Arabidopsis thaliana: one gene and its partners. The protein of the gene in region 3 interacts with the protein of the main gene of each other region in a pairwise test. Each region holds a gene or a part of one and is shown on either strand. Other genes may lie near its edges. The genes, in order: AT1G01230, AT1G54730, AT1G76185 and SK42.

What was found.
Region 1: the proteins of AT1G76185 (region 3) and AT1G01230 interact in a protein complementation assay, tested with the Arabidopsis thaliana proteins (one large-scale study listed by BioGRID).
Region 2: the proteins of AT1G76185 (region 3) and AT1G54730 interact in a protein complementation assay, tested with the Arabidopsis thaliana proteins (one large-scale study listed by BioGRID).
Region 4: the proteins of AT1G76185 (region 3) and SK42 interact in a protein complementation assay, tested with the Arabidopsis thaliana proteins (one large-scale study listed by BioGRID).

Annotation. Positions count from the first base shown.
Region 1 is NC_003070.9:94,253-100,710, forward strand, and holds AT1G01230 (ORMDL family protein), read left to right. Parts: upstream 1-3,159; 5' UTR 3,160-3,367; coding exon 3,368-3,553; intron 3,554-4,204; coding exon 4,205-4,353; intron 4,354-4,655; coding exon 4,656-4,794; 3' UTR 4,795-4,988; downstream 4,989-6,458. Other genes in the region: FKGP (L-fucokinase/GDP-L-fucose pyrophosphorylase), read left to right, coding at 1-29, 105-823, 908-1,300; AT1G01225 (NC domain-containing protein-like protein), read left to right, coding at 1,812-1,905, 2,302-2,990; AT1G01240 (uncharacterized protein), read left to right, coding at 6,431-6,458.
Region 2 is NC_003070.9:20,421,936-20,431,857, reverse strand, and holds AT1G54730 (Major facilitator superfamily protein), read right to left. Parts: upstream 7,513-9,922; 5' UTR 7,388-7,512; coding exon 7,241-7,387; intron 7,143-7,240; coding exon 7,080-7,142; intron 6,496-7,079; coding exon 6,406-6,495; intron 6,306-6,405; coding exon 6,246-6,305; intron 6,147-6,245; coding exon 6,081-6,146; coding exon of another isoform or gene 6,057-6,080; exon of another isoform or gene 5,655-6,056; coding exon 5,589-5,654; intron 5,434-5,588; coding exon 5,358-5,433; intron 5,282-5,357; coding exon 5,217-5,281; intron 5,081-5,216; coding exon 4,988-5,080; intron 4,894-4,987; coding exon 4,813-4,893; intron 4,733-4,812; coding exon 4,648-4,732; intron 4,559-4,647; coding exon 4,515-4,558; coding exon of another isoform or gene 4,464-4,514; exon of another isoform or gene 3,810-4,463; coding exon 3,747-3,809; coding exon of another isoform or gene 3,729-3,746; exon of another isoform or gene 3,471-3,728; coding exon 3,411-3,470; intron 3,070-3,410; coding exon 3,016-3,069; intron 2,545-3,015; coding exon 2,485-2,544; coding exon of another isoform or gene 2,413-2,484; exon of another isoform or gene 2,200-2,412; coding exon 2,085-2,199; coding exon of another isoform or gene 2,068-2,084; and 4 more. Other genes in the region: AT1G54740 (FANTASTIC four-like protein (DUF3049)), read right to left, coding at 120-1,019; AT1G54720 (early-responsive to dehydration protein-related / ERD protein-like protein), read right to left, coding at 8,104-8,234, 8,321-8,458, 8,931-9,027.
Region 3 is NC_003070.9:28,587,820-28,593,653, forward strand, and holds AT1G76185 (NADH-ubiquinone oxidoreductase chain), read left to right. Parts: upstream 1-2,505; 5' UTR 2,506-2,677; coding exon 2,678-2,790; intron 2,791-3,130; coding exon 3,131-3,338; 3' UTR 3,339-3,712; downstream 3,713-5,834. Other genes in the region: AT1G76190 (SAUR-like auxin-responsive protein family), read left to right, coding at 4,406-4,777; AT1G76200 (NADH dehydrogenase ubiquinone 1 beta subcomplex subunit), read left to right, coding at 5,532-5,638.
Region 4 is NC_003070.9:21,429,738-21,439,229, reverse strand, and holds SK42 (shaggy-like kinase 42), read left to right. Parts: upstream 1-3,126; 5' UTR 3,127-3,353; coding exon of another isoform or gene 3,354-3,393; exon of another isoform or gene 3,394-3,717; coding exon of another isoform or gene 3,718-3,803; exon of another isoform or gene 3,804-3,860; 5' UTR 3,861-3,977; intron 3,978-4,257; exon of another isoform or gene 4,258-4,261; 5' UTR 4,262-4,352; coding exon 4,353-4,493; intron 4,494-4,621; coding exon 4,622-4,714; intron 4,715-4,799; coding exon 4,800-4,859; intron 4,860-4,933; coding exon 4,934-5,206; intron 5,207-5,577; coding exon 5,578-5,652; intron 5,653-6,222; coding exon 6,223-6,279; intron 6,280-6,358; coding exon 6,359-6,499; intron 6,500-6,590; coding exon 6,591-6,641; intron 6,642-6,823; coding exon 6,824-6,919; intron 6,920-7,386; coding exon 7,387-7,470; intron 7,471-7,584; coding exon 7,585-7,687; intron 7,688-7,783; coding exon 7,784-7,868; coding exon of another isoform or gene 7,869-7,872; exon of another isoform or gene 7,873-8,019; coding exon 8,020-8,092; 3' UTR 8,093-8,179; downstream 8,180-9,492. Other genes in the region: PUP17 (purine permease 17), read left to right, coding at 341-380, 472-1,628; AT1G57906 (F-box protein), read right to left, coding at 2,420-2,980, 3,354-3,393, 3,718-3,803; AT1G57860 (Translation protein SH3-like family protein), read left to right, coding at 8,403-8,639, 8,939-9,196. UniProt on the Arabidopsis thaliana protein: May mediate extracellular signals to regulate transcription in differentiating cells.

The DNA of each region.
Region 1 (6,458 bases), about 28 Mb from region 3:
TGCTTCAGCTGTGAGATATGGTTTTAGAGGTAAAAATCTAGCCACCACCGTTTGGTATAACACCTTTCATAAACCTGGATTTAACTCTTTTATTTGTTCTTCAGAACATCTGTTGGAATCAAGTGGCAAGTCTCATTCTGAGAATCATATTTCTCATCCGGATCGAGTTTTTCAACCAAGAAGGACAAAAGTTGAACTACCAGTTCGGGTAGATTTTGTAGGAGGTTGGAGTGATACACCTCCATGGAGCTTAGAGCGTGCAGGTTACGTCCTGAACATGGCTATAACCTTAGAAGGTTCACTTCCAATTGGCACAATCATTGAAACAACAAATCAGATGGGAATCTCAATCCAAGACGACGCTGGAAACGAGCTACACATCGAAGATCCAATAAGCATTAAGACACCATTTGAAGTCAATGATCCATTCAGGCTTGTTAAATCTGCTCTATTGGTAACCGGCATTGTCCAAGAAAATTTTGTTGACTCCACAGGGTTAGCAATAAAGACATGGGCCAATGTTCCTCGTGGCAGTGGTCTAGGAACCTCGAGCATTCTAGCTGCAGCTGTTGTGAAAGGACTTCTCCAGATATCTAATGGAGATGAAAGCAATGAAAACATTGCAAGACTTGTCTTGGTTCTGGAGCAACTCATGGGTACAGGAGGTGGCTGGCAAGATCAGATTGGTGGATTATATCCAGGAATCAAATTCACTTCAAGTTTTCCAGGAATCCCTATGCGTCTTCAAGTTGTTCCTTTACTCGCCTCGCCACAGCTAATTTCAGAGTTGGAGCAACGCCTCCTTGTTGTTTTCACGGGTCAAGTAAGTAGCAACCACTGAGAGGAAGAAAAGATTTTTTGTTAGCTACAGAGTCTCATTCATTTTATGCCTTTTTTATATAAACAGGTCAGGCTAGCTCATCAAGTCCTACACAAGGTCGTTACAAGGTATTTGCAAAGAGATAATCTCCTAATTTCAAGCATTAAGCGATTGACGGAGCTGGCGAAATCCGGTAGAGAAGCGTTGATGAACTGTGAAGTTGACGAGGTAGGCGACATAATGTCAGAAGCTTGGAGACTGCATCAAGAGCTGGATCCGTATTGCAGCAATGAGTTTGTGGATAAGCTTTTTGAGTTTTCGCAACCTTATAGCTCAGGATTCAAGCTGGTAGGTGCAGGTGGTGGTGGATTCTCACTTATATTGGCTAAGGACGCAGAGAAAGCCAAGGAGTTAAGACAGAGATTGGAAGAACATGCAGAGTTTGATGTCAAAGTTTACAACTGGAGCATCTGTATTTGAAAGATACATACAGTGTCAGTGTGTCATCATCTTGATTCTTGTAAATTGATATATTTTTTTGGGACCTTTGGAAAAAATAAAAGCAGAAGAATCTTTCAGATTTGCAATTAAAAACGATGTCGTGTGGTAAACAAAATCCTTTGCTTGACCAAGTCGTTCTCTTCTTGCTTCTGGTTGGTTTACTTCATAGTTCAACGACCACCAAGCTGTGAAGTGACCGTATTACCCCTGCCTGGAATCAAGGTCAAAAGGCCCCGGAAAATCAGTACGTTGGTAGCATTTGGATTTGGAGATAACGCCGTTAAAAGACTCTGTAACGGGTTTGCTCAACAGCTCTCTCTAGTTCGTTTATCGAATTAGATAATGCCACTCCAAAAAACGTTACTTTACCTTACCTATCTCGCTGACGTCAGATCCCACCGTTAGAGCTTACACTTGTAACGCCGTTTCCTGCATTTTCCACAAGCAAGGTAAAAAAAAGCTTTGTGCAGAGAGAGAGAGAAGAAGAAAAATGGGTTTGCTTACGAACAAGATTGAGAGAGAAGAGCTAAAGCCAGGAGATCACATCTATACTTACAGAGCAATCTTCGCTTATTCTCACCACGGTAACTTTAGATTCATTCTTCCCAAGTTTGCTCCTTTCTTTCTCGTTCATTCAATCATAACATCAAAAAGTGAAATTATCCTCAATGCAAGTCTTTTCTTTTAGTTTCTACTGGTCGGTTTAATCTTCTTATTGAAACTGTAAATTCACAAAGTTGACGACTTTATCTAGATAGATCTTGAAGACAATGGTCTATATTCCAATCTTTGCATGACCTAATTTCACCCTGGCTCTGTATTTTGATGTTATTCCATCATATCTTCTGATCTCTGATGGACTTTATAGATGATTTTTGTTTATTTGACATATTTTTATCCCAATTTCCTCTGGTGATGAAGAATTGATACTGTTGTAGACATTCCTTCATGGGCTTTGATTTGATTGTGGATTTTTGCAGGAATCTTTGTCGGTGGGTCCAAAGTTGTTCATTTCAGACCTGAACACAACCCCATGGATTCATCAACATCATCAATATCATCATCTTCCTCTGAAGATATCTGTTCCATATTTCCTGATTGCGGTTTCAGACAACCGGACAGTGGAGTAGTCCTTTCTTGCTTAGACTGTTTCCTCAAGAACGGCTCACTCTACTGCTTCGAATATGGAGTCAGTCCATCGGTTTTCCTAACCAAAGTCCGCGGAGGGACTTGCACAACCGCGCAATCTGATACAACTGATTCAGTCATCCACAGGGCAATGTACCTTCTCCAAAACGGATTTGGCAACTACGACATTTTCAAGAACAACTGTGAGGATTTCGCGCTCTATTGCAAGACCGGTTTGCTTATAATGGATAAGCTCGGTGTAGGGAGAAGCGGTCAAGCTTCTTCAATTGTTGGTGCTCCTTTGGCTGCACTCCTCTCTTCTCCTTTCAAATTGCTTATTCCAAGTCCCATTGGTGTGGCAACAGTTACTGCTGGTATGTACTGTATGAGTCGCTATGCTACCGATATTGGTGTTAGAAGCGACGTCATTAAGGTCTCAGTTGAGGATTTGGCTCTCAACCTTGACGTAAAGACCATTGAGCAAGGTGAAGAAGAAGAAGAAGACGAAGAAGAAGATTCTGATACCGACTATGTTAGGTGACAAACAGATACCTATCACCTTTGTTCACGAATTTCGATATACATAAGAAAACATTTCAGTTAGAATCCTCATGTTGGTTTTATGTTCCCTTTATTGCATTTGTTGGCCTATTTTCTGTCTGTACAAAATGAAAACGCAGACGTTTTGGTTTGGGTAATGTCAAAAATATCCCAATAATTAATTAATGCCCAGTGTAGATGCAAAAAAGCAGTCGTCGTCTTTCACGGGCACACAAAATTAAACCAAAGAAACAAACAATCCTTGTTCTCGCCGAAATAGAGAATTTTGTGAATCTGGGTTTTTAGTTCAGGTGTTAATATAAGATTTTGATCAAAAGAAGACGAGATTCGATCCGATCCGATCTGATTGAAGAAGAAATGGCGAATCTGTATGTGAAAGCGGTTCCACCACCGGATATGAATAGGAATACGGAATGGTTCATGTATCCAGGAGTTTGGACGACTTACATGCTTATTCTCTTCTTCGGTTGGCTCGTTGTTCTCTCTGTCTCTGGTTGTTCCCCTGGAATGGCTTGGACTGTTGTTAATCTCGCTCACTTCGTTGTAAGTCTTCGATTGTGTTTATGCTTTAGAGATGATTTTTTCACTTAGGGTTGTGACTTTAAATTAGATGATGGATTGATTCCTTGTTTTTTTTTTATTTCCTGAGATCTGGATGTGAATCTGGCTCTAGTGTTTGAATTGATCTCTTTGGTTATTAGCAATTTTTTAGTTGGTTTAGGGTTCGAATGAAGAGGCAATTACCTTCTGATTGATCAGTTTTAGCTATCGTATATCGTTGAGCTTGGATCAGGCTTCGAATTAGGATACAGTTACCTTCTTATCAATGAATTGATCAGTTTTGGTATCAGCGATTTTGAATTGATCTGTTTGGATACTATCAGCAGTGTTGACTGTTGAGTTGATCAGGCTTTTAAGTAAGATGCAATTCTCTTCTAAGTTTGAATTGATCGGTTTTGGATCAGGCTTCGAATTAAGATGCACCTTCTCGTTAATGAATTATCAGTTTTTGATATCAGAAACTAAAACTACCTATGGCATCAATGCAATTTCTTAAGGTCTAACTGTTTGATATAATGCGGTGACTTGTAAATTGGCATTGCTTGATTGTCAAAACCAAATTTAATCTAATTTCTAATTACTCTTTAGGAAAATGTGATGTCTGAGTAGAAATTTGTGGATATTTGTTGTCAGGTAACGTATCACAGCTTCCACTGGATGAAAGGAACTCCTTTTGCAGATGACCAAGGAATCTACAATGGTTTAACTTGGTGGGAACAAATGGACAATGGTCAACAGCTTACCCGCAACCGCAAATTTCTTACCCTAGTTCCTGTTGTTCTGTAAGTCCCAGCACCTTGTTCCTCAAAATCTCACCACTCTTGTCTATTTCCAATCTATATTTTCTTAGCAAATTATTTTCTTTAGCTGCATATATCCTTGTGTCTCATATGGTTAATAAATATGCTAATTTCTCAATACACATATCTAAATCCGGTGATGTGTAACGGACTAGTTCTAGAGAACTCTGTATACGCGATAATGTGTATAAACAAGAGCTGCATTTATCTGGATGAACTTTTAAGATTGAGCTCTTTAGCTTTTGTACTTGTTTTCTGACTTTATAACGACACATTTAAAACAGGTACTTGATTGCATCGCATACAACAGATTACAGACATCCATGGCTGTTCCTCAACACACTCGCTGTGATGGTTCTCGTTGTTGCCAAGTTCCCCAACATGCACAAGGTACGCATCTTTGGTATCAATGGTGATAAATAAGTTTCCTTTACGGCAAGAGAACACCTGAAAGAAGGAAAAGGGGATATAAGCGAACATATATATGTGTAAATGTTCATATGAGTTGGTTTAATTCTCGAGTCATGTTTTTTGTTGGATATTTGTAAGTAAACTCTCTAATTTTGAAGCTTTCATCTTTTACCTTTTATAATAGACACGAAAAAGCTTTCCCTTCATCTCCCCACTTCACTTCAGATAATGGGCCTAATAGCAATATGGGCTTGAACAATAATTGAATTTAACAATGGCCCAAAGATTCCTGTCGTGGTGACTCATGAGTTATCATAACACCAGAATGTTTTCGATTGAGCGTAATGATTCAGTGGGATCTAAAGAACACGTGGCTGCCTACAAGATCTCTAACAGCTGGTTAATGACACGTGTCATAGTTAAAGTCCACCTGGATGGATATTATATCATGGTGTACGTATACAAAATAGTTAATCCCTCTTCAAAATTGAATAAAGCTAACAAAAGTAATCAATTAACGTGATTAAAAAAAAAAAGAGAATGCTAATTGGACCCCGAAAACATGATATATCCTGCAAAATTAAAGCCGACAAAACGAAAGAATGACTAATTAAAGTTGGAATAAGACTAATGATTTTTTTTTTTTTTTTTCTTATTGTGGTCCAATGTAAGAAAATAAATAAAAACATCTTATCCATTAAATCGAAAGTAGGGTCCATATCGTAATAGCCGTCGATTCTCTCTTTAGCCAACACGTGTTGTCAATCCAGCTGTTTCAGATGCTTACCAAGCCAAACAAGTTATTGAAACTGTGTCGTTTTGTGTCCCTAACTCGGAAGCTTTTACGGAAGAAACTGTAAATTTGGTTCCATGGGGCCAGAGAGTGTGAGAAACGAAAATTAAAAAAAAAGAGAAGAAAAGCCAAAAGCTTCGGTCGCGCAAGATCGCTTCATTTGTTTCTAGAGTGATTCATGGATTCTTTAAACTACTAATAATGGTATCTTTAGTTGTTACTTCGTTTTCTGATCTATTTTACAAATCTTACTCTTTTGCTCTGTTTTCGTGGTTTTGTTTAGATAAAAGTCTCTGTTCTTCTAGTTTCTTCCATCAGACTGTTTTCTCATGGATCAGTGATGATTTTTGTTTCCTGGGTCAACTTCTGATTTTGGAATTTCTGAAAATTTTGGTAAATTTACTCGATCCCATTGCGAAATCTTACGCATGATCTTTGTAGTTTGCTCTGCTCAAGACTTTCTTTTTTTTTGGTTCTGCAGTATGTCTTAATTGCTCTGAAACTTATGTCTTGTTGTGTTTAATTTGGTGGTGAAATATATTGTCTTCTTTATTCCTGGATCTGTTAAGATTGTTTAAGATTTCATATACGTTGAATTGGTTTTGATTGAATATATTTTGGTTCCCAGACGTTGCGTGTATTATTTAATGTAAATTCCTTAAATCATTGGCTTATCTATGAATCAATCATTTGCTTAGAAGCAATCTCATGAGTAGCAAGAAAAACGAATTAATCCTTCCCATGTCTTTTATGTTTATATTACAGGATCTGGGTGAAAAAAGAACAGTCTTTTGATTTGGTGTGTTTCTCTTTTCTCTTAATTTTTTAGGATTTTTGTTGTGTCTTAATGAAATAATGGGAGCAGCTGAAGCAAGAGCATTGT
Region 2 (9,922 bases), 8.2 Mb from region 3:
CGAATATTTTATAAAAATACAACGGAACTTCCAGAGAAAATATAGCTGTACTCTTTTTTAGTTGATATATTTTTTGTTTCAAGCCGCCACGTAAAAAAAAAAAACATTGATTAATAACCTCACCTGGTCCTCACGTACGTCCGGGTCCATAAATTCATGTTATTGTTACTATTATGATGATGGTATGGATGAATATGATGACGATGACGATGATGATAATGATGATGATTGTTCTCATCATGGTTCCTACTTGCCACGATCTTAAAACCACTGTTGTACATCCATTCTCTCGTGTCATGGTCATCATGGAAATGTGCAACATCATTATTACTATTCACCGAAACATCATGACTACTTTTACATCTCCAACTTCTTGCACCACTATCATCACTGATTATAGATAAATCCATTCCTTGATTACATGCACCATCATTGTCGTCTTCATTAATCTCTCTACCACATTCCAGATCAGATCTACTAATCTCCCCTCCCTCTTTCTCATTACCTAGACCCTTAGGTTCCTCTTCTAAGGCCACAATTTCTTGAGGACCAGAATAAGCTCTAATGGGATTCTCGACACCATCGACAAAATGTAATCTCAACCGTCCATCTACTCTAGAAACGTGGAAAATCTCTGGTCGATCGACCATAACTTGCGTAAGTTCCAATCTACCGTCTTTTCTCACCGGACGGAGATAAAAATATCGCTGTCCACGGCTGTTTAATGACGAGAGAGGCGGAGGAAACTGTTTTTTCTGCGCTTGCACCACCACATTCTCCTTCGTCTTCCTCCTCTTTGCTTCAACCCTTTCGGTCTCCACCTCCGCATGACAAGTCATCTTGTTCTCCACCTCGTTATCGGACATCCTCATGTCGTAACTCTCAAACCCTAGATACTCTGTGCACAACATTAAGCCATGTGATTGTGTCTCATCATGGCCAAGACCGGATTCAAACGGCATCCCTTTGGTGTTGGTTTGGCCAAGGAAAGAGTGAAAGCTTCTTTTGTAGAAGCTCATCTTGGTAACAAGAGAGAGAGAGAGAGGGTGACAAGATAGATACCTACTCCCCTATTTGTATTATTCTGAGGATTGATGAATAATTATTACACATTTTTTGTTTATAATAGAACAAGAAGAGAGAGAAAAAAAAGTCAAGAAAAGAAAATGGGAAAGAGATAGATGATCGAAAGAAGCGGTGTTTTGCTTGGTGAATAAAGGTGCCACCGAGAAAGATGACCTGTAGAGATTAGAAGAGAACGTAAGATAAGTCCCACGTCAGATGGCTTCACACTTCAATCTCTGTCACTTCTTTTTAATTGGTTTTCTTTCTTGTTTTTAGATATAAAAAGAGGAAAAATGACTATTTTTTTAAAATTTTTTTTTAATTTTTTTTTTGGTTTGTGTGTGTTAAAGGAAAAAATGGAAAACAAGAATATGTCATTAATATCGTGATCTAATCCCTTAGTTAGTATATTTTGAATGGATATTTGTCAAACAATCATTTTTTAAAATTGATTTTTTGCACTCATCCATGAAATCAAAATTGACCTCCATACATAACATTTTTGTAAGCGGTCTAACTATCTCAAAGAAATATTTTATAATTTTTTTGTAGAACCCAACATATATGTCCAAAAAAACTTCGAATATCTTTCACTGTCTTTAGAAGTTGTAAACTCGTCATAACCTCGATTTTTTTCCTCGACACCTTCAATTATGTTCTCCGATATTTGGTAACCAAAAACAACACCATTTATTCAAATTCACTAAGCAAAAAGGATGATACGATTATACCAAAAGGAAAGAAGAAAAATAAAAAATCTTACTTTTAATCGTTATAATTAGGGACTGATATTCTCGTAATCAACTACTATACATTACAATTCTACATAACCAATCGAATATTGGATTTCCTCAAGTGTGCGACCTTTGGTTTCTGGTACGAGTTTTGCTACAAAAATAACAGTAGCCCCACAAACAGTAGCGAAAACATAAAACGTTCCTGAAAATTTAAAACTTGTGCCACTATTAGATAAAGAACAAAATTTATTGATAAAAGCAAAATTTAAACAAATTTTATACCTGCCGGATTCCAATTCATTAGAAAGTTAAATGTAAAAGATATAATCCATGATCCGACCCAGCTAACAACAGTCACGAGGCTTCCGGCTGATCCTTTTATGTCTATTGGAAATATCTTTATCATATAAAACATAAAATTAATATCTACGCACCAACTAAATTGAATTAAAATGTTATATAAACAAAGAATCAATAAATAAATCATAAAGGAACATAATTTATATACACTGATCAAAATCATACCACATACAACCATATGAGAGTTAAATAATTTATTATTTAATTTTAATACTAAACCGTAGGTTTATGATATAAAGTTTAATATTTCTTAAGACATCGATCGGATTATTAAGTATAAGAGTATGTTTAAAACCAAAGAATTTTTATGAATGTTACTTACCTCTGACATAATGACCCAAGGAATCCCACCCATCCCTAATGAAAATGATCCGGTGTACACCTGAAAAAATAAGATAAATTTATCATTTATGGACGTCTACGATCTTTCAAAGTATGTGTGTGGGTTCTAATTTCATCCAATAGTTGGTTCGCTATCCCAGAAGCCACGAAATACTTGTTAATAACAATAATGATATTATTTGTTCTTTTCTAGTAGTTTTTCCTCACCGACATAGTATTCGGAAATTTGTTTTAGCAAGTCATTCATCGTAAAATTCCTTCAACTCAAACACGTCTACTATATAGTTCTTTCAGAACGAGTTACAGGAAAAATAAACGTATTTTGATGATATAGATGTGTATATCAGTTCTTCTATTTTTTTCATGCACCATCTTATTGGTACAGTCATTCCCACTTTCAAACAGCAACGTTTCAGTATGCCAAAACTATCATATTCATATCAACTATTTTCAAACTTTTCAAATTGAGGATAAAAAAAAAGGAAATCTAGATTTTAGTCGTCAAACTTACCAAAACGCCTGTAAGTGCTAGATATGAAGCATCTCCACTCAATTGCTTTACAAACTACAACAGGATGAACCCAAAAATTATAGTACATAATATGAAATTATAAACATTTTGAAGCATATATGCAACTACTTGAGAAGTTTTAATATTAATATACAATCAAACAATAAAAATTAATATTTCTAGATATTTATCATCTAGATCTAGACATAGATCGAGAAAATATATTAAATCTCTATTAGAAGAAAAAATTATAATTATGGTAACAATAAAGTCATATGGCACCACTGTAGACAAAAAATATTCAATTTTTATACTGATATTAATATACTAAAACATAATATGTTAAAAATAGATAAAATCAAGATATTATTTTAAAATATAAATAAGGAGAGAACCTGTAATGAAAATGATAAACCGACGAGGAAACACCCGATACATGTTCCAGTAGCAGAAATCTGAAGAGATAAAATATTAAATTCATTATATGTAATTCTTTCAACATATACATATTGACATATATATAGGGACTAGGGAGGCAATATATAATTATCCACCAATGTATAATAATAATAATAAAAGATAAAAAAACAATAATAAGTTGGAACTACAGTTATAACATAAATTCTTTAAAAACTTTATTTTTAATATAGTGAGAAAAGGTACTTGTAAAAATTACTTTGTATTTGACTAATAACATTATAAAAAAATGTTAGTCACTTGTTTTTTCTTACTAGAAGTAATGGTCGTCTTCCTGATTTATCCATCAACAGTACACCTAAAGTTGTCATAGGGATCTGGAAAGAAAATTCGTCTCAGCTACAAATAATTTTAAGAAATGATACATTGAATTTTAAATGTTAAACAATTATATATTAATTGTAATTATTTTGGCTTTTCAATTCAAAACAAAAGTGGATTAGACCATATTATTCATATATCACTCAACGTCTCATTTCTTTAATGTTAGGTATTTCTAACATGTTACCTTGATATATGGTTCCTCTACGGGTTTATCTCTCTATAATCTTGTTATAGGATAAATTTTGGGTCAGATTAATTTTTGTATTTGATAGGTAAACAAATGAAACTCAGATTAGAACGATTTGGTTTGTATCGGAGAAGCGTGTGTTCATTTTATAATTTTATGGTCATGATCGTTTAGTAGTCGCCAGTGATGGTCGTTTGGTAGTCGTTAAATTTAGCGACAGATCCAGCGACCTATCGCATCGATCAACAATCTCCAGGAATTAGTCGTCGCGACTGATCGCTATCCTGCTCTCTTCCTTCTCTTTCGAATGGAAACAATTCACACTCTAACATTATATATTCTCTTTCTTTCTCAGGTTTTTCTTCCCTAAAAATCCTTTAGTATAATTATATTATTTTTGTAATATATATTTGTATTAGTTGTGTTGTTACCCTATATAAATATATATTCATTCACTTAATTAACCATCAAAAAATTGGGGAAAATAAAATAATAATACCCAAAAACTTACCTGTACGACCACCATCGCAATCATTCCAATTTTGGAAGAAACCCCTACAAAACAAAAAATTAAGTTGGTTAGTGAAGTTCTTTTTTAATTTTTGGGGTTTAGGCACATTAATCAATATTAAAGGTGCATGTACCAGCAGATTCGAAAATAGAGCTAGCGTAAAAAGCAATTCCATTAACCCCTCCAAATTGTTGCAAAACCATCAGACCAACTCCCACCTAAAACCCACTTGGCATTTCATCATAGAATAATGAAAATAACTACTTATTGAACAATTTTATAAGTTAAAAACACTTACAACTAGAGATTTAGCATACTGTGGCTGGAACAGATCTACTATACTACCTTCTGATAAATCTGTAAGTCTTCGCGTATAATCCTAGAAAATATAGAAATACAGGAGATTTTACACTTTAATGGAAATTTGTAAAAAATGTAGTGAGCTCAAGAAATAGAATTTAGTGTTACTTTACTTTGATCTCATTAGACTCATATGAAATATCTGCGGATTCACCACGTAATCGTTGCAATGCAATCTCAAATTCTTCCCATTTGCCAACTTTTGCCTGAGAATTTTTGCGAACAATTATTTTCTATAACAATGAAAGTTTTGGGTTACTTAGCGTAATGATTGGATAGACTAGATTTGGCATTAGGTACATAAAAACTATTAAACTTGTAGTATGTTGACGGATAACGTACCAACCATCTAGGAGACTCTGGGATGACAAATAATCCCATCATTTGTACAACACATGGTATCATTCCTGGAGCATAAAAAAAAAATTAATTAACAATTTTTTAGTATGAGTAACTTATTTAAAGTATGTTGACGGATATTACCGATCAAAGCTAAAATTCGCCAGCCTATAAAAGAGCCCAAGAGATATGTGACTGAGACACCCAAACATATCAGTAACTGCAATGTTAACACTGTTAAAGATCGATGGAGATGAAAATAATACTTTTAGAGTATATATTTTGTAACTTCTGATTTAATTTTTAAAAACTAATTTAGTTCTTGTATAACATATTCATAAAAACTAATTTAGTTATTGTATAACATATTCATACCTGATGAACAGTTGTAAACCCACCACGAAGACCCTTAGGAGTGATTTCAGCTATGTATACAGGAACCTGATCATCGATTAACAAAACAATCTAGATGAAAGAACGATACAAAATCTACTGTACTATAGCTAGCAACAACTTTCAGCTACATAAATCGAAGAAGTTATCTTTTCATTGTGTTGTTCCTCGCATGCGCAATTTTAAGCCGGAATACCAGCTAGTAGTACATATGAAATATCATACTCTTGGGGGCAACAAATAGTTTCAACATATAATCTAGTATCTAATATGACCAATATAGCTTTCGTTTTAAGAAATTAACAATTGTAGAAGGCTAATGTTTATTGTAAATAGATATATAAGAAAAGTAGAGATATATTTATTTAGATCATTAGGTCACTCATCTTACAATTGATCATCGAATTTGTTTTCTTGTAATCACCACAATATTTTTCATTATTCAAGCTACTAGCTAGAGTTTATAGATTTTACCACAAACGAAAAAACGCCCATTCCATAACCAACCAAGAATCTCCCAACGTCAAGCCAAATTGCAACCTTAATAGACAAAAACCACATGGTAAATTTTAAGTACTTCTTGAAGAAATATAGTTGATGAGAAATACAGAGAGATATATAGAAAAATACTAAGCTAACCTTAGAAAGGTAGATTGCTAACCAGCCGAGAATGCAAAACATCTCCGAGAAACCCATAGTCTAATCACACACACACACACAAATAAATGATTTATTTACCAGTTTGACGCAAAAATGTAAATATTCGCTTGTCATGGAAAGAAAGAAGAACAAATTTTACAGCTCGTCTGCCTATCATATCGGCGATTCGTCCACTCATAGCTGCGCCGATCATTGCTCCAATTGTCAGAATCGAACCGAAGAGCGAGTACTGCATGTAGTTTAAAAACATTTATAGGTGATATATCTTGATTTTTACGATGATGTTTATATAATTTGTCATCTTTCGTAAAGGTATGCTTATTTCTTAATTTTCTACTAAATGATATTTTTTCCACACCTATAAACCTTAAATCAAGACGGAGAAAAAAAAAGAAAAAAAATTCTAACCGAAATAGAGATCATAATTAATAGCCGGACACAACTAATTTATCTCAACATGCAAGCATTTGGAGTAGGACCAGTACGTCTACAGTACAAAAATTCAATTCTCCACTCATTTTTTTTTCCGTCAATTCTCCACTCATTATTAGTACAAAAATAGTGAGATAATCCTTTAAATTTTAATTCTCCACTCATTATTTTCTTCTAGTATCATAACCCTTTCACAACTACTTGCCTCAATTAAAAAAAAAAAAAAAAACTACTGCCTCAATCCATACTCATTGATTAGATCAGTAACTAATACTATACACATAAGTTAAATGTACTTAAGTATATTTTACCTATCTAGCTAGCAAACAAAAACATATGGCATAATAAATTAAAAGACAAAAAAATAAAATAACAGTTTACCTCTGCCACAGAGAGATTCAACTCCTTGGTTAAATCCGACTGAACAGGTGATGAATATCCTATCTGCCAAAATTTTCAACGAAATTAGAAATTAAGATTCAAACACAAAACACAACACACAATTACTGAACAAAAGCAAAAATTAGTAATTGTAAACTCACAGCTGAGCCAAAGACAAAGGAACCAGACACGGCTACAAAAGTGGTGAGCAAGAGAGTAGTTGTTATTGTCGCCGATGAGTCTTGATTCTCTTTGTTAATAAGTGAAGTTTCAGGAGCAAGATTAGCTTCATCGATTTCTCCTCTCATTTTCTCTTTCCTTTTTGTGATTCTATCTTTCTTAGTGAAATACTTGAGTAAAGACAAAGTAGAGTTGTTGGAGAGATCTCAAGAACTAATATATAGAGAAGAGATAAGGTTATTTTATTATTTTGTCTTTGTCTTCAAGTTGTTATTATATATAGAGAAAAAGTGAAGAGTAATTCACAAATATATATATGCAAAGTAGTCAGTCGTATGTAGTCGTTTCATTTTCATGTGTAGTAAGTTTATGCGTTTGTATTTTAGTGGTTTAAACAACTAGGTTTATGTCTTCTTTTTTTTGTTTTTTCTTTTCTTTTTTTGTATTTTTAGTTTTGATTTGAATTTAAGATCCTAGAGCATATGCATTGCAAATATATATTATCTTTTAATAGGTCTATGAAACTATCTGAAGCACACACTCTATAGATGGGAACAAGCAAAGAACCAAGAAGAGAATAACGAGTTCGAGTAAGAAGAAACTAAGACCAGTAGCAATCGAACGGGTAAATCTCTCTTGAAAAAAGTTAGTCCTTCAACGAAAAAGAGGAAAGACATACGTATTTCATGAGATTTATAATGGTAATCGACCAGACGATCAATCATTTATCTACTTCTCCTTTAAGGGTTTGCCCAATCTGAATCGGTCGATCCGGATACACTTATATTTTCATATAAATACTATCATATAAGAACTAAAATCCTAAGCTTTTCATATATAGTTTTCACTTATGGTTAGTTGTAGTAGCTATTAGCAAGAGCTCCACTGCTCCGCCATCAACAGCTCCAAGATCTGAAATGAGATCGAAGCAGAGCTCAAGTTCAGCTAAAGAGTCAAAGAAAGAAAACGACGTCGCTCAGCTTAACAAAGGAAAATGGTTATTGGGCCACTCACCAAACAGGCCCAATGACAACACAACCAACACAACAACGAAGCCCAACAAGTGTTCTTCCTCTTCTCAACAGACAAGACCACCACCTGTGCAAGAAAACAAATCAGAGTGAAGACAGAGAAGAGGAGCGTCTGTACGGATCCAATCAACACAAAGAACAGATTTGGTTGTTTGGTGACCTCCGAAGCTTGATAAGACAGAGACAGCTGTCAGTTTACAATCATTGAAACCCTAGCATTGTTTAGCTATAAAAGGGAACCATGTTGTAACCTAAAGATTAAGTGAAATAATACAAAGCAAAGTTCACTCAAAACATTACCTAAAGTAGCCGTCTTGCTCTTACTTTCAGTAGCCTCTTAGATCTAAACTCTTTTGGGCTAACATCACTAACATTTATTCAATTGTTTTAGAATTTATTGATAATCTTTAGTTTTCTTACATTTTGTATTTTAATTGTCATAATAATTGAGTAGTCTCATTCATAGGTGATCGTTAGGCTAGATTAGGGTGTTTAATGTTTGATTCATGATATATAGTTGCATAGTCTCATCACTTAGAGAAGAGCTCAATGCTAGTTAAGTTGACCCCTGTTGATTTAGATCTTTCATTTCACGCCTAGAAGGTGTTAAATAAAATGCTTGAACACTTTCTGAGTAAACTGGATTCAGGGTAACCATCTTCATTTGGGTGTTTCCTTTCTCTTATGCTGAGACTCTTCCTGAGTAAACTGGCTTCCATGCTCTTTTGTCTCTCCATTGTTGTTGTTTCTTTTTTCTTCTGATGATCATACTCTTTCTTTTTGTTTAAGATACAGTTAAAGAGAGAGATAGAGTAAGAGACTTAAGAGGATATTGTCACTTATATTTGTGACAAGTACTAAGTTCAAAACTCTTCATACATTTATATAGGATCTTGAGAAGTTTTAGACACTTTTTTTTTAAAAAGGCTTGAAGATATCGTGGGTAATTAACAAAGGACGAAAAACAAATCAAGTAGGAGTGTAGGACAAAAAAACAGTAGTTGGCTTTTATTTTTAAGTTTTTTGGTGAAATTATTGGCCTTTATTTTAAAAGAACATATAGTTATATTAATGAAATGGTGTTCGTAAAAACGTGCAACTCTGACAAAATATTCTTTAAATAATTGGAGACGGGTAGACGCAAGATTTGGAACTGTTCTTTGGTCTCAACAAAAGTCAGTTAATCAAAGTTTACTAATAAGTTTTGGCATAGTTGCCTTCGTAACCAAGAGGGTGAAAACATGAAACAAAATAGTGAAAACACTTACAGTTATGTTTTAGCCTTGCTGTTTGATCGTAGGGTGGTTGGTATATGCATGGTACTGTCATTTTGGTGAATTTTATGAATTTGTAAAACCATATAAAAGAAGAATAAGATATATAGGAGCAACTTCCTTTTAGAGCTTTTTTTCATTTAATATATTACTAAACCGTGTGAGTGGATAAATACAAGTCTAAGGAATCATTTTGATTAAACTCATTGCTACTGAAAGAATGTGTGAGTTATAGGGTTATAACTTAAGTACTATATACAGATATAGTTTCTCTTGTTCGTCCATATTTATTTAATCTTTTTTTGTAACTTCTCAAATAATATAAGGTTATAACATTTTTTTTTTTGTCGTCTAATAT
Region 3 (5,834 bases):
GGATTTCACGCTCTTTGTACACTTTTTTTTTGCAATTTAAAAACATATATCTAATTATATGAAATTACAAAATGACCCGCTTTTTATGGCATCTTCTCCTTCGTCCCCACGTTAATTATCATTTTTCTGTTAATTAGATAAAGTTATATTGGATTAAGAAGAATTCATTAATTAATTGTTAATAGTTTGCTTACGTGATCTGATATCAATTTAGTGGAATAAAAAATAATGGATAAGAATGGCAACTAGATAGTTTTTTTTCAAAAGTAGTGAAAACAAACTAAATGGTTTGTTCAAGGCGTGTACTGTTTTTAATTTAAATATTAGACTTTCATAAGTTTTTTTGTTTGTTTTAATACTTGTTATGTGGACTTTGTAGTTCAATGATCGGTTTATCAAGTTAAAGAAAACTGATTCAAACTTTAAATAGAGTAAGAATAATATGGAATAAGCAAAAATGTTTTTTCATTTCCTCTGAAAGCAAAAATAATTTATTTTTGACAACGCAAAAGAGATTTTAAAGAATGGGATGTCCCTATAAATTATTGTTCTTAAAGTTTCGGGCTTTCTTATATATATATATATATTCACAAATATAGGAACCATCTTGCAAATTCCAAAAATGGATTACAGATTTTGAAAGGATTAACAATTTAATGCACCATAGATTGGAAGACACGTGTCAAGCATTAGCGCAAATCGGACGACGGAGCTCATAGTCAGAAATGGAACGTCGGATGTAGACAAAGAAAAGAGTCAGAGAGAAATTTAGATTAATCAATTACATCTTAAAACGTGTCAATATAACATGGGAAGTTGTCCTTTTGTAGGACCCAATAGTATGTACTGATTGGCGTAAAAGACGTGATGTCGGTTACGTGGGTCCACTTGACTTATTGACTAGTGCCACGCTGGAACAAGCTTGTTCGAGAAGAAATGATGATTTTTTAGAAATTTATAACGTTCCTTATTTTTTCTTTCTTCTATTCTATGCGTTACAAAATACAAACAAACCAATAAGAACTTGGTTATTTAATTCTTATCACGCTATGAATCCTCAACGATTAGGTGTTATTTTAACTTATTATTCACTAAACATGTTGAAGAGGCCAATCTAGTAACGCATGATCTTTGAAATTGTAAATACATGATCTTGGATACTCTAAACAAAAAAAAAAACAAATCCAACAAGTAATATAAGTCCGATTGGCTCAATCGATTAGGAAGGTGTTGTTGCAATGCTACCGGATCTCATTTTTAGTCCTAATGCTACAATAAGACGGGTAATTTGCGCTTGTGAATCCGCCAAAAGTATTATCAAAGAAATGATCGTGGACATAAACAAACTAAAACTAAAGATTTAGATTTTAGAACGAATAGAAAGTTAGCATCATCTTTTGTTTACCATTTTTGGGGCACATAAAACAATCTTTCGTAATCTCGTTTATGGGAAAAGGGTTTGTGTATGTATTTTTTCAACGTAAATGGTTATGTTTTCATGCAGTTTTTAAAGATAAACTTAGATGTAGATAATGAAATCATGAGTAGACAAATGAGCATAAGATGACTTGGATTTCTTATGAATTAATATGTTAATGTGTGGGATGTCATTTTCGACCTATTGAAAAAGATATACTAAAAATATTAATGAAGGACAGATGGTAATCGGTAAATGCATCATCTCTTAAAATTCGCCTAAAATAAAAAAAATGAACCGACGTGCCACATCAGTAATCTCTGGTCTCTAAATTTAACAAAGACGTAGCACGAACCGTGACGTATCAACACACATATCAAACAAACCTATCTTTTTCAATACTAACTTATTCGTCTTTTTGGTTCTTGTTGTCATATACACCGAAGCTCAGCTCTTAACTTATTCTTTGGATAATGTTTTCGGTGATAGCGAACCGACAAATTGTAGCCGACACTTAGAATTCACAACTAAACTATAGATTTTAAAATAATATTAATTAATTCGAAAGTTTGAGATATCTGAACAAAGTTTTCTGAAAAACGTAGAATACATATGGATCAAATACTATAATTCGAAAGTTTCAGATTAGTGCTAAGTAATGAACGTCATGCGTTTGTTCTTCTGTCGATTTCTTCTTTTTCACCGCCCGTCTGAGTTTTATGGGCGTGATATTTTCCTTATTGTGGTCAAATCAGGAATATTCAACAATATTTAGCACTCGCTTTACTTGGTGGGACATGAGAATCAATCGATGCATCGCTGTTTTATTTCTTTTTCTTTGATGTTTCTATTTCTGTTAGAACAAAGTTTTCATGATTCTTAAAAGCCCAAATTTCATGGCATCGGAACAAAGTTTTCATATATGATGACAACTCAAAACAAAAGAGTAACGGTAAAAGCCCAATACCCATAAAATGGGCTTAAGAATCCAGATCGGATCTATAACCCGACCCGGTTGTTGACACCGAGAGAGTCCACGCAACGTTCGCCGAATTCCTAACGAATCGGACACCGTTTCGTCGCTGTAAAATTTTGATGCGAAATTTTCCAATTCACAGATTTTGTTTTTCCATTGTTTTGGATTTCTAGATTCTAGTTATATGTTGGTGATAGATTTTTCCTACATCTCGTGATTCTCAAACGCTTCTTGAGCTCTTCGTCGAATCGGGACTGTGATCGGGACTTGGTGGAGAAGAAGCGATGATAACAAGATCGAATCTAGCAGAACAGCTCAGGGAATATCAGATTAGATCAAAGCATGATTGGGCCTCCGTTTCTTTCTTCTCTTCCACCTCCAATTTCTCTTCCTCCAGGTTAGAGATCTCCGGCTTATCCTTTCCTTTTTAATCTGCTGTGATTTGGAGCTGCGTGCTTAGAGTTGTATTTGAAAAATTGTACTTTGTGATATTTAATTCAATTGGAACCGTAAATTTCTCATCTTTTAAGGGATTGTCGTTGAACATTGGATATCTATGTGAATCCTACACAAGGAACTATAATTTTGACTTGTCCACGTTGAACCATCTTTGACAATTTGACATACACTTTTCATTCTTATCGACTCTGTTGCAATCTGGATTCTATTGTTAAATTTTGACAATGAACATTCTATAGTGGTACTTATGCTATTCGTTTCGTTTGCTTTTGATTCAGGGTTGATGTTGTAGTCTTTGTCATATGGGAACTAGTGATGTTAGCACTCGTGGTGTTTTCAGCTGTATCCTTGTACTTCAGGCGGTTGCAACTTGCTTTTATCCTGCTTTGTGTCACCTTACTATTACTCCTCTGTATGAAAATCACAAAGCAAGTGAGACATGCTAGGAAGAAGAAGCGAAGGATGCTTCTTCCTCTCTCTATGTAAAGACCGAAACCATTGAGCTGTTGCGAACCGTTTATCTTCTCACACAACCAAACCACAACTCTTCTCTGGCATGAGTTTTGTGCCCATATGCATTGATGAAGATGACAGCTAAGCTCAGACTGACTCTGGGACGCATCGCTTTTGTCCTTTGAAGAATCGACCTGAACTTGAGATATGAAACCAGGGACTGCAATTTCAAGGCTTAGCTTAGACAAATCAGAACAAAAGTGCTGTAAAGGTTGTTTTCCTGTATAAAGTAGTATGGGAGGTTGCTTTATTTTTCCTAGGCACGATCACGGATTGTTAACTTGAGCGTTTTGTGATTAAAGATAGTTTTTCCATCTATCTATGTTACACTTAATATCATGATGAAGTGATTTAGATTTGTTGGCTGTAAAAAGTTTTTAAAAAATGATTTGCAGGATTTTCATGTGACGAGAAAAAGAAAAACAACGAACACTCATGAAAGTAGAAGAGAGAACTATAAAATGAAAAGTAGCAAGCAACTTGCTCGAAACGCTCACATGTTTCTATCATTACCTTTGCGCTCTGCAACTACTTTAGTATCTTGTTAAAGAAAAAGTGGTAATAGTTAGTATTATTTGTAATGTTATGGTCTGTCAATACACTAGCTTAGCTTGATTTGATTAACTTAATTTCCAAATAATGAGATACTGTCTACATGGTGATATAGCTTTGTCAAAGTTCATTAATGACAATGACAAAAACAAGTGTGTTAGTAACCAAGATAATTGCATTTAGTCGTAATTCATGTTTTGAAACGGAAATAATTAGAAAGATCGAAAATCTCTAGATATTTGTAGAAGGTCAGTACATAACTCCACGAGTGGTCGTGATCCAATTTGTGGACAAATTTGAAAAGCAACTAAAAACAATCAAATAAGCACGAACATCCTTTTCCCTCCACACACATCAAAATCCACAGTTTGGTCCATATATTGCTATATATATAGAGAAGCAGTTAGGCATTTAATTAAGGTTGCATACAGACAGATACATACGCAACGAAACTATCAAAGCCGAAGTAACACACACACAAAAATCATATGAAGAAACTAAATTCTAAAGGGATTAGACTCTCCGAATTGATGGAGAAATGGAGAAGAAGGAAGAAAGGGCACTTCGCTGTGTACACGAACGAAGGGAAGAGATTCGTTTTACCATTGGATTATCTGAATCATCCGATGTTACAGGTGCTATTGCAAATGGCTGAGGATGAGTTTGGGACTACCATTGATGGTCCTTTAAAAGTTCCTTGCGATGGAAGTTTAATGGATCACATCATCATGCTTGTGAGAAGGAGCATGTCCCATGATTATGATGATGTGGAGAAGTCTTCCACGAGCAGCACCTGCAAGGGAGCTTCAATCTCTTCTCTCTTTCGTGGACAGAGCCAGCTTCAGTCATTAGTTTCCTAACCATTTGGAGTAATTGTTAACTTTTTTTGGAGAAGGGTTGTTCTATTTTGTGTATACCAACATGATCTTGTAATAAATTAATTATTGTAATGTATCAATGATACAGTATCATCATTTGATTTTGAGTCTTTTTTTGACGGTTAAAACAACGATTTGGGACGAAGTTATAGGCCCTGAATGGATGCTGATTTTGGATTCAGTTTTTGAATTTAGATTTTAGTTTATAGATTTTAGATTTTAGTTTCAGATTTTTATTATTATATTTTTGTTTCAAAAACCCCAAAAAATTGGTTTTTGGTTTTTGAGAAAAATAACGTTGATTGAGTAAAAACTAGATTTCCTAAATTTTAGGAGAACTAAAAAACTAAAATCATGAATGGAAAACTACAAGAAAATAATTTTTCTAAATTGTAGGGAAACCAAAATTTTAAAATCTTGATTGGTATGAAAATAAGTTTTTGGAAAACAAAAACCAAAAACTCTTACAAAATCTACAAAACATTCAATTCATGTATCCAAACTTCTTAAAGGGCCCAAAAAGGAAGAAAACATTGTGAAAGAAACAGATATAGAAATGGGCCTTTGGTCTTTAAATTGGGCCTAAGCCTTTTAATTGAGGCCTTACTAAAAGTGACGACTCACATGGTTGAATCAAATCTCAGGTAGTAAATTGTCAAAGCTGAGGAGAAAGAAAGCTTTTTCGGTCTGAAATTGAAGTGCGAATCGGGGAATCTAGGGTTTCGAGAGAGAGATAATGGGTGGAGGAGGACATGGCGGAGGTATAACTTACAAGGGAGTCACTGTCCACACTCCCAAGACTTGGCACACCGTCACCGGAAAAGGCTTGTGCGCCGTTATGTGGTACATTTCTGATTTCTCTCTTTCACCTAATTCGCTTTTGATTTTGGGACCTAGCTAATCTCGATCGTAGCTAGATCTCGCCATGGGGATTTTGGGCTAATTGATCATCTGAGGAATTTTGTATATAGAATCCATTTGAATCAAAAAATTGGATTTGTCAAATTAGTATCGGAGCTAATCAGGTAGATGTTAATTT
Region 4 (9,492 bases), 7.2 Mb from region 3:
AATATTAATTTTATTTTGATCAAATTGTTTAACTTATATTTTGTTAACAATTAAAACAAAAGTTTCTATAAATTAATAAAATATCATGTTCCAACATTATTAATTTATAGAGGTTTTAATGTACGTTTAAATTAAGTAATTAACCTTGTGTAGCGGTGTATAATATATACAGTAATACCTTTCCGGGTTTTGACTAGTACCAACTCTGATCTGTCAAAAAGATTTCGTACGGTATAGTGGAAAGATCTTTTCTAATTGCAAGATAGAACTAGTCATTCCACAGAGAATGAAATCTGCATATTTAAGGGTGTTCAGACTTCAGAGGTACCAGAGAAAACTAATGGAGATGTCCAAAGCTTCCAAACAGACAACAAGACATGGTAATTATTTCAAATTCTTATCATAAGTTTTATAATATTGTTTCTGTACTCGAAAACAAAATAAAAACTAAATATTTTCTTTAACAACCAGAAGAATCAGAACACGTTCAGAATCCAGAACCAGACCAAATCTTGAGTCCAAGAAGATCGTTGGAGCTAAAACAAAGAAAATGGTGGATCTCTGTTTCTTTATGTCTTTTCTTAGTCTTACTCGGAGATTCTCTCGTCATGCTTCTCTTGAACTTCTTCTATGTCCAAATGAAGCAAGACCGTCGAGAAGAGTATGACCAAGATCTACAATATAAAGGAACATGGACGCAAGCTCTGATCCAAAACGCTGCGTTTCCTATTCTCATCCCTCTCTTTTTCATTTTCCCTAAACCAAAACAACACCTTGAAACCAACAATACTAGTTTCCTCTCCTTGCGTCTCTTCTTCCTTTACTTATCTCTTGGTGTTCTTGTTGCTGCTCACAGCAAATTGTTCGCACTCGGGAAATTAGTCTCAAACTATGGCATCTTCTCATTGATTTCCACAACACAGTTGATATTTACCGCTGTTTTAACAGCCATCATTAACCGTTTCAAGTTTACTAGATGGATCATCATATCGATATTACTCACTATTGTGATTTACGTTCTCGGTACTCCTGACTTTGGAGGACAGCCTCATGACGGCGAAGAATTCGGATACAACATCCAAGCTTGGTTAGCTTTCTCTGCTACAATTGCTTTCTCATTATCTCTTTGCTTAATCCAACTCGGGTTCGAGAAACTCCAAGTGAAGACCAAGAGATATGGTAACGAGAAAGTGTTTAGAATGGTCTTAGAGATGCAAATATGTGTCGCTTTTGTCGCCTCGGTTGTTTGTCTCGTGGGCTTGTTTGCGAGTGACGAGTATAAGGAACTGAAAGGCGATAGCAAGAGGTTTAAGAAAGGGGAAACGTATTACGTTCTGAGTTTGGTCGGGTTGGCTTTGTCGTGGCAGGTTTGGGCGGTCGGGATGATAGGTTTGGTGCATTATGTTTCGGGTCTTTTTGGTGATGTTGTTCATATGTGTGCTTCACCATTTGTGGCTTTGTTTGTTGTCTTGGCATTTGATTTTATGGATGATGTGTTTAGTTGGCCTAGAATTGGTGCTTTGATAGGAACAGTTTTGGCGTTAGGATCTTACTTCTACACTCTGCACAAGAGAAACAAGAAGAAGATGGCGGAACTTAACCAAAGTGAGAACAATGTTGAAGTTTAGTTTCTCATGTCAAGTGTTTGTCAATCTGTTCTTGTTATTCTGATTCTTGTAAGTCAATGTCCAAAATATGTTGTATAGATATGGATCAAACTATGTAATTTATTTATTAGTTGGTTTAGTTTGATTTTTTTCTTTTCTCTGTTTTGCATTTATTTGTTACAATACTTTGCTAGAGGAGTGAATCCCTATATATTTCTCAAGTAGACTTGATTGTTAACATCTATGGGGCATCGAGACACCAATAAAGCCACATCCCACTTGATGATATAAGCTGCACCAAGCTCTTATGCCTTTAGGCTCGTACCTTTCCTATATAGAATGCAACGTAAACGTCTTCCCCAAGCAACTCAAATCCAGAGGCTGATGAGAAGAAGTCTTTTATATGCTTATTTGTTTTGTATATCTTCCATGGGTGATCATTCCTCTGCAAGTGGTTTATTACGTCGATGAAAGCCAGAAATATACCAATAGGCCATGCACATTTCGGTTACAGAAGTGGCACTCTTCATATTACTAGCTGGAGAAGAAAGGTTTTCGATAGAGCTTAACGGAAATGGTAAAGTATGGTATGAGATAGAGATAATGTTATCACATTTCTTGTCACTCCTCCAATATCCTTAATATAAAGAAAGTAGCTCTAGCCTAAACAAGATTCAGAGAAACCTAGGAACAAACATTTGGAAACAACTCTGCTCAGAACCAAACATCATCAAAGTACTACCATCGTCTAGCTTAAACACCTTAACCTCTACTTCCTTTTCATGGACAAAGTATATAGAATTCGGTACGCATCAATAGTACTCATGAGCCATAACCGAGAAACAAGTATCAGTCGCCATCACAACCGCACTATCTCTCAAGGACTTAACTTCAACCCACTTCCCTAATTCCTCATCAACCTTATAAACATTGAAACCAACCATTTTGGGACATTCTATTTCCACCTCTTGGTCCACATTGCATTTTTCATTCCCAAAATCGTCATGTATCACATTAGAAATCCGAGGAGCTACACCAACATAAACATTATCATCCAAGTCCAAGTAATCAGCTTTTCTTTTCAAGACATTCTCTTTAAAAAGACGATCAACAATATAAAGCTCTCCACAACATGCAACCAAGCTTAAGTCTCCACCACATTCATTAGTAAGTGAAGTTCCATACCTAACGATACTAATCCACCAAACAATGCCTTTCGTATCCAACACGTAAATTAGCTCTTTGAGAACAATAATATCAGAGAATTCACCAATCTGATCTTTGATTCTAGTCCAAATCTCTCCATTCCAAAACCTAATCTTCCCATCAAACCCTATTCCAAAAACTCGATCTCCTCCCGCAAGAACAACTTTCTTAAACCCAAAAGCAATGGACCATTTCGGTTTAACAATAGATGTGATTTGGTTTAGCTTATCAATTAATTTTTTTATTTTATTTTAAAATAAATATATATTTTAATTCTTTTATAAATCTCTGATTGGTTGGTTAATTAATTGTTTGTATTTCCCTTTTACGAATTTAAATAAAGTAGATGTTACAAAAGAAAATGAAAATCTCTGAAAAACTCTCCTGATTCAAAAGAGTAAGAAATCTACAAAAGAAAACCACAGAGAAAATCTCTACTGATCAGTTTCTCTCCATTGGTGATCGCTCGTCAGAAAAATTGAGCTCGATTTTGTATAAATTGAAGAAAAAGAAGAAGATCATCAAATGCGTGATTTTTACTTTTCCGTTCAAGGTAAATCGATCATCTTCGGCTTCAAGCCTGAAGATAGCGCTTCGAATTGGTTGAATTGTGTAATTTTGGAGGAAGTTAAGGTTCTTGCAGTAACAACTGCTTTACTGATTTTTCTGGTTTTTTTTGTAATTGTAGAAACTGAGTTTAAGGACAAGCTTTGTCCCTTTTAGTGGAATTTAGATCTGGTTTTGTCGTAATTTCTTCTGGGTTTCAATTCTAGTCTTCTGTAGTAGTATCAGTGTTGTGTTATCACCCACTATTTCAAAGTTTCAATGAAATTTTAATACCAAGTTGTTGACTTTTCTGTGTTTCTATCTGATCATAATTAACTTCGGAAGAAATTATTGTGACCTCAGAAAATTAGGTAGCTGATTTGATTCTTTTGTTTTCTCAATTATTCTCTTGTTAATTTCATTGTTCACATAGAAATGGTTCATATTTTCTGCTAATATGTTTCCTCTTTCATTTCAATTCACCATATTTCTTCTTTGTAGTGATTGATCAAGGGAACATAAGCAGCTAGAGACCACACCACTCAGTTATTTCTATCTCATAGTGCTTGTGGATGTTCAAGCTATAAGAATGTGCTCGGTGGTTCTATGAATATATAGGTATTATGCGTTATGTTTGGTTTGTAGAATATATTCTGAGAAGGTGATAGGATGGTCGATTTGCTAACTTTATGTCACTTCTGAAAGTGAGTTTGCATGTTTCTCTTTTCTCTTAAATCTGCTTTAAGTGTTAAGATATTTTGTTTTGAATATATTTGGAAAAACCAGTGACTTTGGTATTCTGTTAGCATGTTCCAACGATCTAAATTCTGTGGGTATATACTCTGGTAATTGCTTATACTGTTTTTGCTTTATGAAAACGATTTTAATATTCTACTAGGAAGATTGGTGTTTTGATGGGATGGGACACCAAATTGCTAAGGTTTATGGTGTTATCAATTACTAGTACGTGTTATCTTCCGAACAACCACCACCATGGAATCTCATCTGGGAAATGGAGTAGGCAGTTCGAGATCTGCCAAAAATACAAAGAACACTTCTAGTTCAGTTGATTGGTTGAGCAGAGATATGCTTGAGATGAAGATAAGGGACAAGACAGAGGCTGATGAGGAGAGAGTAAGTTTTGCATCTCCTTTCTTAGGTCTTTATTTCTTTGTGAACTTCTTTAGCTTATCTTCCTTCTCATGCGCCCCTCTATTTGATGAAGTAGTTTACTTGAATTTGATGTTTTTGCCATGTTGCAGGACAGTGAACCAGATATCATTGATGGAGTTGGTGCAGAACCTGGCCATGTGATCACAACTACACTCCCTGGACGAAATGGTCAATCAAGACAGGTTAGATGGTCATAGAAACTGTGTGTCTAGATTGTTAGTGAGACGTACTGATTCTTATACAACTGTTTTTAATTTTGATTGACAGACAGTCAGTTACATAGCAGAACACGTAGTCGGGACTGGTTCATTCGGAATGGTTTTCCAAGTGAGTAAGATTGTCTATCTTGTTGTTTTACCATTGGTTAAGATTCCCAAACATTTTATGTCTCCTTGTGGTAGGCTAAATGCAGAGAAACTGGGGAGGTTGTTGCCATCAAAAAAGTTCTACAAGACAAGCGTTACAAGAACAGAGAATTACAAATTATGCAGATGCTAGACCATCCGAATGTTGTTTGTTTAAAGCATAGCTTCTATTCAAGAACAGAAAATGAAGAGGTTTATCTAAATCTTGTCCTTGAGTTTGTTCCCGAGACTGTCAATCGTACTGCCAGAAGCTACAGTAGAATGAACCAGCTGATGCCATTGATATATGTCAAACTCTACACTTACCAGGTGATTATTTCCTGTTTCTGATCTTTTTTTGTTTCTCTTTATGTAAGCGTCATAAGTAATCACTCAAAATTTAAGCTATATTCAGTTTCTTGATATGTGTCAGCTGGTTTCTTGTGGTTCATTCCATAATGGATGTTGGAGATTTCCTCTTGTTTTGCTAGATAGATTGTAAACCAGAAGGCAAAGTTCCTATCATTTCTGATACTATTGTACTTTTCCGTTAGAAGTTGGAACTATTGAACATAATTGATTGTCTCTATATAAAAGAAGTAGTGCTCAAACGTTTGTTGAACACTTAAGTGTGAATCGGGCCTGATAATTTGTTGGACATTCTCCAATGATTTTTGAGGATTTTATGTTAATGGCTACAGATTTGCAGGGGGCTTGCTTACCTTCATAATTGCTGTGGTCTTTGTCACCGTGATATAAAGCCCCAAAACCTGCTAGTAAGTTCCAATTTTTTCTCACTGAAAAGAAGTTGATGATAGATTTCACTTTCCTGTAAGCTACTTTTGTTTGAATTTTTTTTATATAGCAAGGTCTTTGTCACCACACATAAGGATTTTAAAGGCATTTGTGTACATAAATATCAGACAGTGTTCTTTAATTCTACAAATTTGATCATTATATAGTAATGACATGATGATATTTCGTTATTACATGCCTGGTGGGATTAAGCAATGAGGTTATGTATGCATCTCGCTAATGTTTATTTCAACCTCAGAGTGGTACTGGGCTTCTGTTCTGTAGTTAATTTCACTTGCTATTTGTTCAAGTAGGATGTTAAAATCTAACTTTTCGGAAAATAGTTTTGGTTTTTAGCTGGTCTGTTCGTTGGTTTAAATATTTAGAATCCTATTTTCTTGTGATTTCACAAGGATTGAACTTGTTCCATACTGTTTCAGCTGTTAGGCTCACCATACCTGCAATTGACTAGAATTTGTCATAAACAAATGTTGCCTTGTTTTTATTAAACAATCTTTTATTTTTTTCTTTACACCTATTGTGATGTGCAGGTGAATCCACACACACATCAGCTGAAAATTTGTGATTTTGGGAGTGCAAAAGTGTTGGTAAAGTTTATCAGCTATAGCTCTTAGTGGTTTAGTTTTCCTAGTCCATGCTTAGATTATGACGTGTCATGGTCCACAGGTGAAAGGAGAACCCAATATTTCTTACATTTGTTCAAGATACTATCGTGCCCCAGAGCTCATTTTTGGAGCCACCGAGTACACAACTGCAATAGACATATGGTCCACAGGTTGTGTGATGGCTGAACTGCTGCTTGGACAGGTTGGAGCACTATATTTGCATTAGCTATATGCTTGTTATTCTATTTCTTCACCCTCTTACTCATTTTTGCTCTCGCGGACTTGTTTTACAGCCTCTGTTTCCTGGCGAAAGTGGAGTCGATCAACTTGTTGAAATCATAAAGGTAGTATTTTTGCTATCAATTCTTTTAGGGTTAGTTGTATTTACAAAGAAAATGACATCTTTAGAGCTGGCACTGACTAATAGTTTCTCACTGCTGATTATATTTTTTTTATAAAACTTTACCACCATTTTTGTAGTAGGACTCGTACATTCTCTCTTCATGGTTTTTTAATTGTCATGCAGGTTTTGGGTACACCAACAAGGGAGGAGATCAAATGCATGAATCCAAACTACACAGAATTTAAATTTCCTCAGATAAAACCTCATCCTTGGCACAAGGTATACCGCTAGTAGTATCAATTATCACCTAATAGGGTTCTCTTAATCGATATATGACCAAGCTTGTCTCGGTTTAGTGAGGTTGATTGAAGTATATGTGATCAATTAACTTCATATTTCATTCCTCTGGCATATAGAGCGATGTGACAGCTTTGCCTTTGTATATAAGATTCTTATACAAACAAATAAATTGAACCTTTGCCAAAAGGAATTACTCATGCACACACTCGTGGGGGTTGAAAACAGTTAGGCTTCATGATCTTGGCTTTTTTGCTGGTTTAAGTTTCTATCTAGATGAAGTTTTATTCAGCATTTTATACAGCTGACATTCCAGAACTCTGTTACTCGTTATTCTTATCTTTTGTTTTGCTCCGTGCTAAAATTTCTCTTAAGTGATCATTTCCTTGGTTTTACTTCTATATAGTCATGTTCTTACAGCACAAGAATCATGTGTTTGTTACTTTCAGGTATTCCAGAAACGTCTGCCACCTGAAGCAGTAGATCTTCTTTGTAGGTTCTTCCAGTATTCTCCTAATTTGAGATGTACAGCGGTAAATTATTCATAGCTTTTCTCTGACTTTGTTACATATTCTACTTCCATATTTTTTTTGGGATCAGCATCAGAAGCTAACCCATTATAAGTATGTCTTATGATTTTCTGATAGGTGGAAGCTTGTATCCACCCTTTCTTTGATGAGCTAAGAGACCCAAATGCTCGTCTGCCAAACGGCCGGCCACTTCCTCCGCTATTCAATTTTAAACCACAAGGTAAGGTTCTGTTATTTGCTTCTTCTTTTTTCCGTGTTAAATTCTTTATAAGGGAAGAAAATTAGTATGTGTTATTGATAAGCGTGTGTCCTACAGAACTCTCTGGTATCCCTCCTGAAACTGTGGACCGACTTGTCCCAGAACATGCCCGTAAGCAGAACCACTTCATGGCATTACACTCGTAAGTCTCTTCCGTGTTTTCTGTACGACCTATCGGGTGTTCTCTTCTTTTCTCTAAGCTCTCTAGATCCCAGTCTTTGGGAAAAACCAGTAGAGCTCTCTCTCTGTAAACAGAAATCACTGGAAAAAGAAGCAATGACTTTTGTATTAAGGTGCTTGCGCATCCCTTGTCGTGAAGTGAGGATGCGTAAAATACAACACTACTTTGTTAGATATATGATATAGAGGAACATACTTACATTTGCAAGACTCCTGCCACAACACAATTTTCCAAAAAATTTGTGAACCTTAAAATGAATTGACAGTTTAGTTTATTTGTCCATGTTTACGAACTTGATTTGAACCATATTACTCGAATTACACCAAACCAATTTATCTTCGAGTTAATTTCAAATAAGGCATTTGTTTTACAAAATAAGGCTTAAATATTGAAGGCCCAATAAGACCATGTACACAAAAAGCCTTTTAAACTAGTTTCACCTCTCTCTCCCATTTTTAGGGTTTCGTCAGAGACAGAAGTGAGAGAGGAGGAAAAATGCCGGCGGGACACGGAGTGAGGGCGAGAACAAGAGATCTGTTCGCGAGACCATTCAGGAAGAAGGGTTATATTCCACTCTCCACTTACCTCAGAACCTTCAAGGTCGGCGATTACGTCGATGTCAAGGTTAATGGAGCTATCCACAAGGGTATGCCTCATAAGTTCTACCATGGTCGTACTGGTCGCATCTGGAATGTCACTAAACGTGCCGTTGGTGTTGAAGTCAACAAACAGGTTTGATTACTCAAAACTTTTAATCTGTTTGAAAGAGTTTTTTGTTGTTGAAATTAGGGTTTGAAATTGATTTTGATTCTTTCATTTGGGGTTTAATTCGTCTTTCTGTGAGCTATCTGTTTTGAATTCTGAGATGTTGGATTAGTGTTGGCTCGAAAGTTTCAAGCTTTTCTTATTGGGTCGTTCGTTTACTATTATTATATGTTTTGATGTTGTGAAAGCTTCTCTTTTCATTTCTTGTGTTTATGATTAGTGTAATCTGTTGGAGAGCTAAGTTGGTGTGTTGGGTTGGGTTTTAGATTGGGAACAGAATCATAAGGAAGAGGATACATGTGCGTGTGGAGCATGTGCAACAGTCAAGGTGTGCTGAGGAGTTTAAACTCAGAAAGAAACAGAACGATGTGCTTAAGGCTGATGCTAAAGCCAGAGGTGAGACTATCAGCACCAAGAGACAGCCTAAAGGTCCTAAACCGGGTTTCATGGTTGAAGGTATGACATTGGAGACTGTCACTCCCATTCCTTACGATGTTGTCAACGATCTCAAGGGTGGTTATTGAGTTGTTTCCATTTTATTATCATTCTCTACTCAGAATTTTTGCACTTGCTTTTTTAATTATGTTTTTGTATCAAACAAGACTGATTTATATACGATATGAGTTCAGATTTTGTTAGGAAAGATGGTTTATCCCAATCATTTACCTATTGCATTTGTATTTAAAAATCGTTTCTGCATTCTTCAGAAAAATGATACCTTGGGAAAAGTTGAGACACCTAATCTTTTTCAGTGTTAGCAATTTGAACCACAAAAAGAGAGAGCAATGGAAACAAAATCTTTGTAAAGTTGCGAATTTCA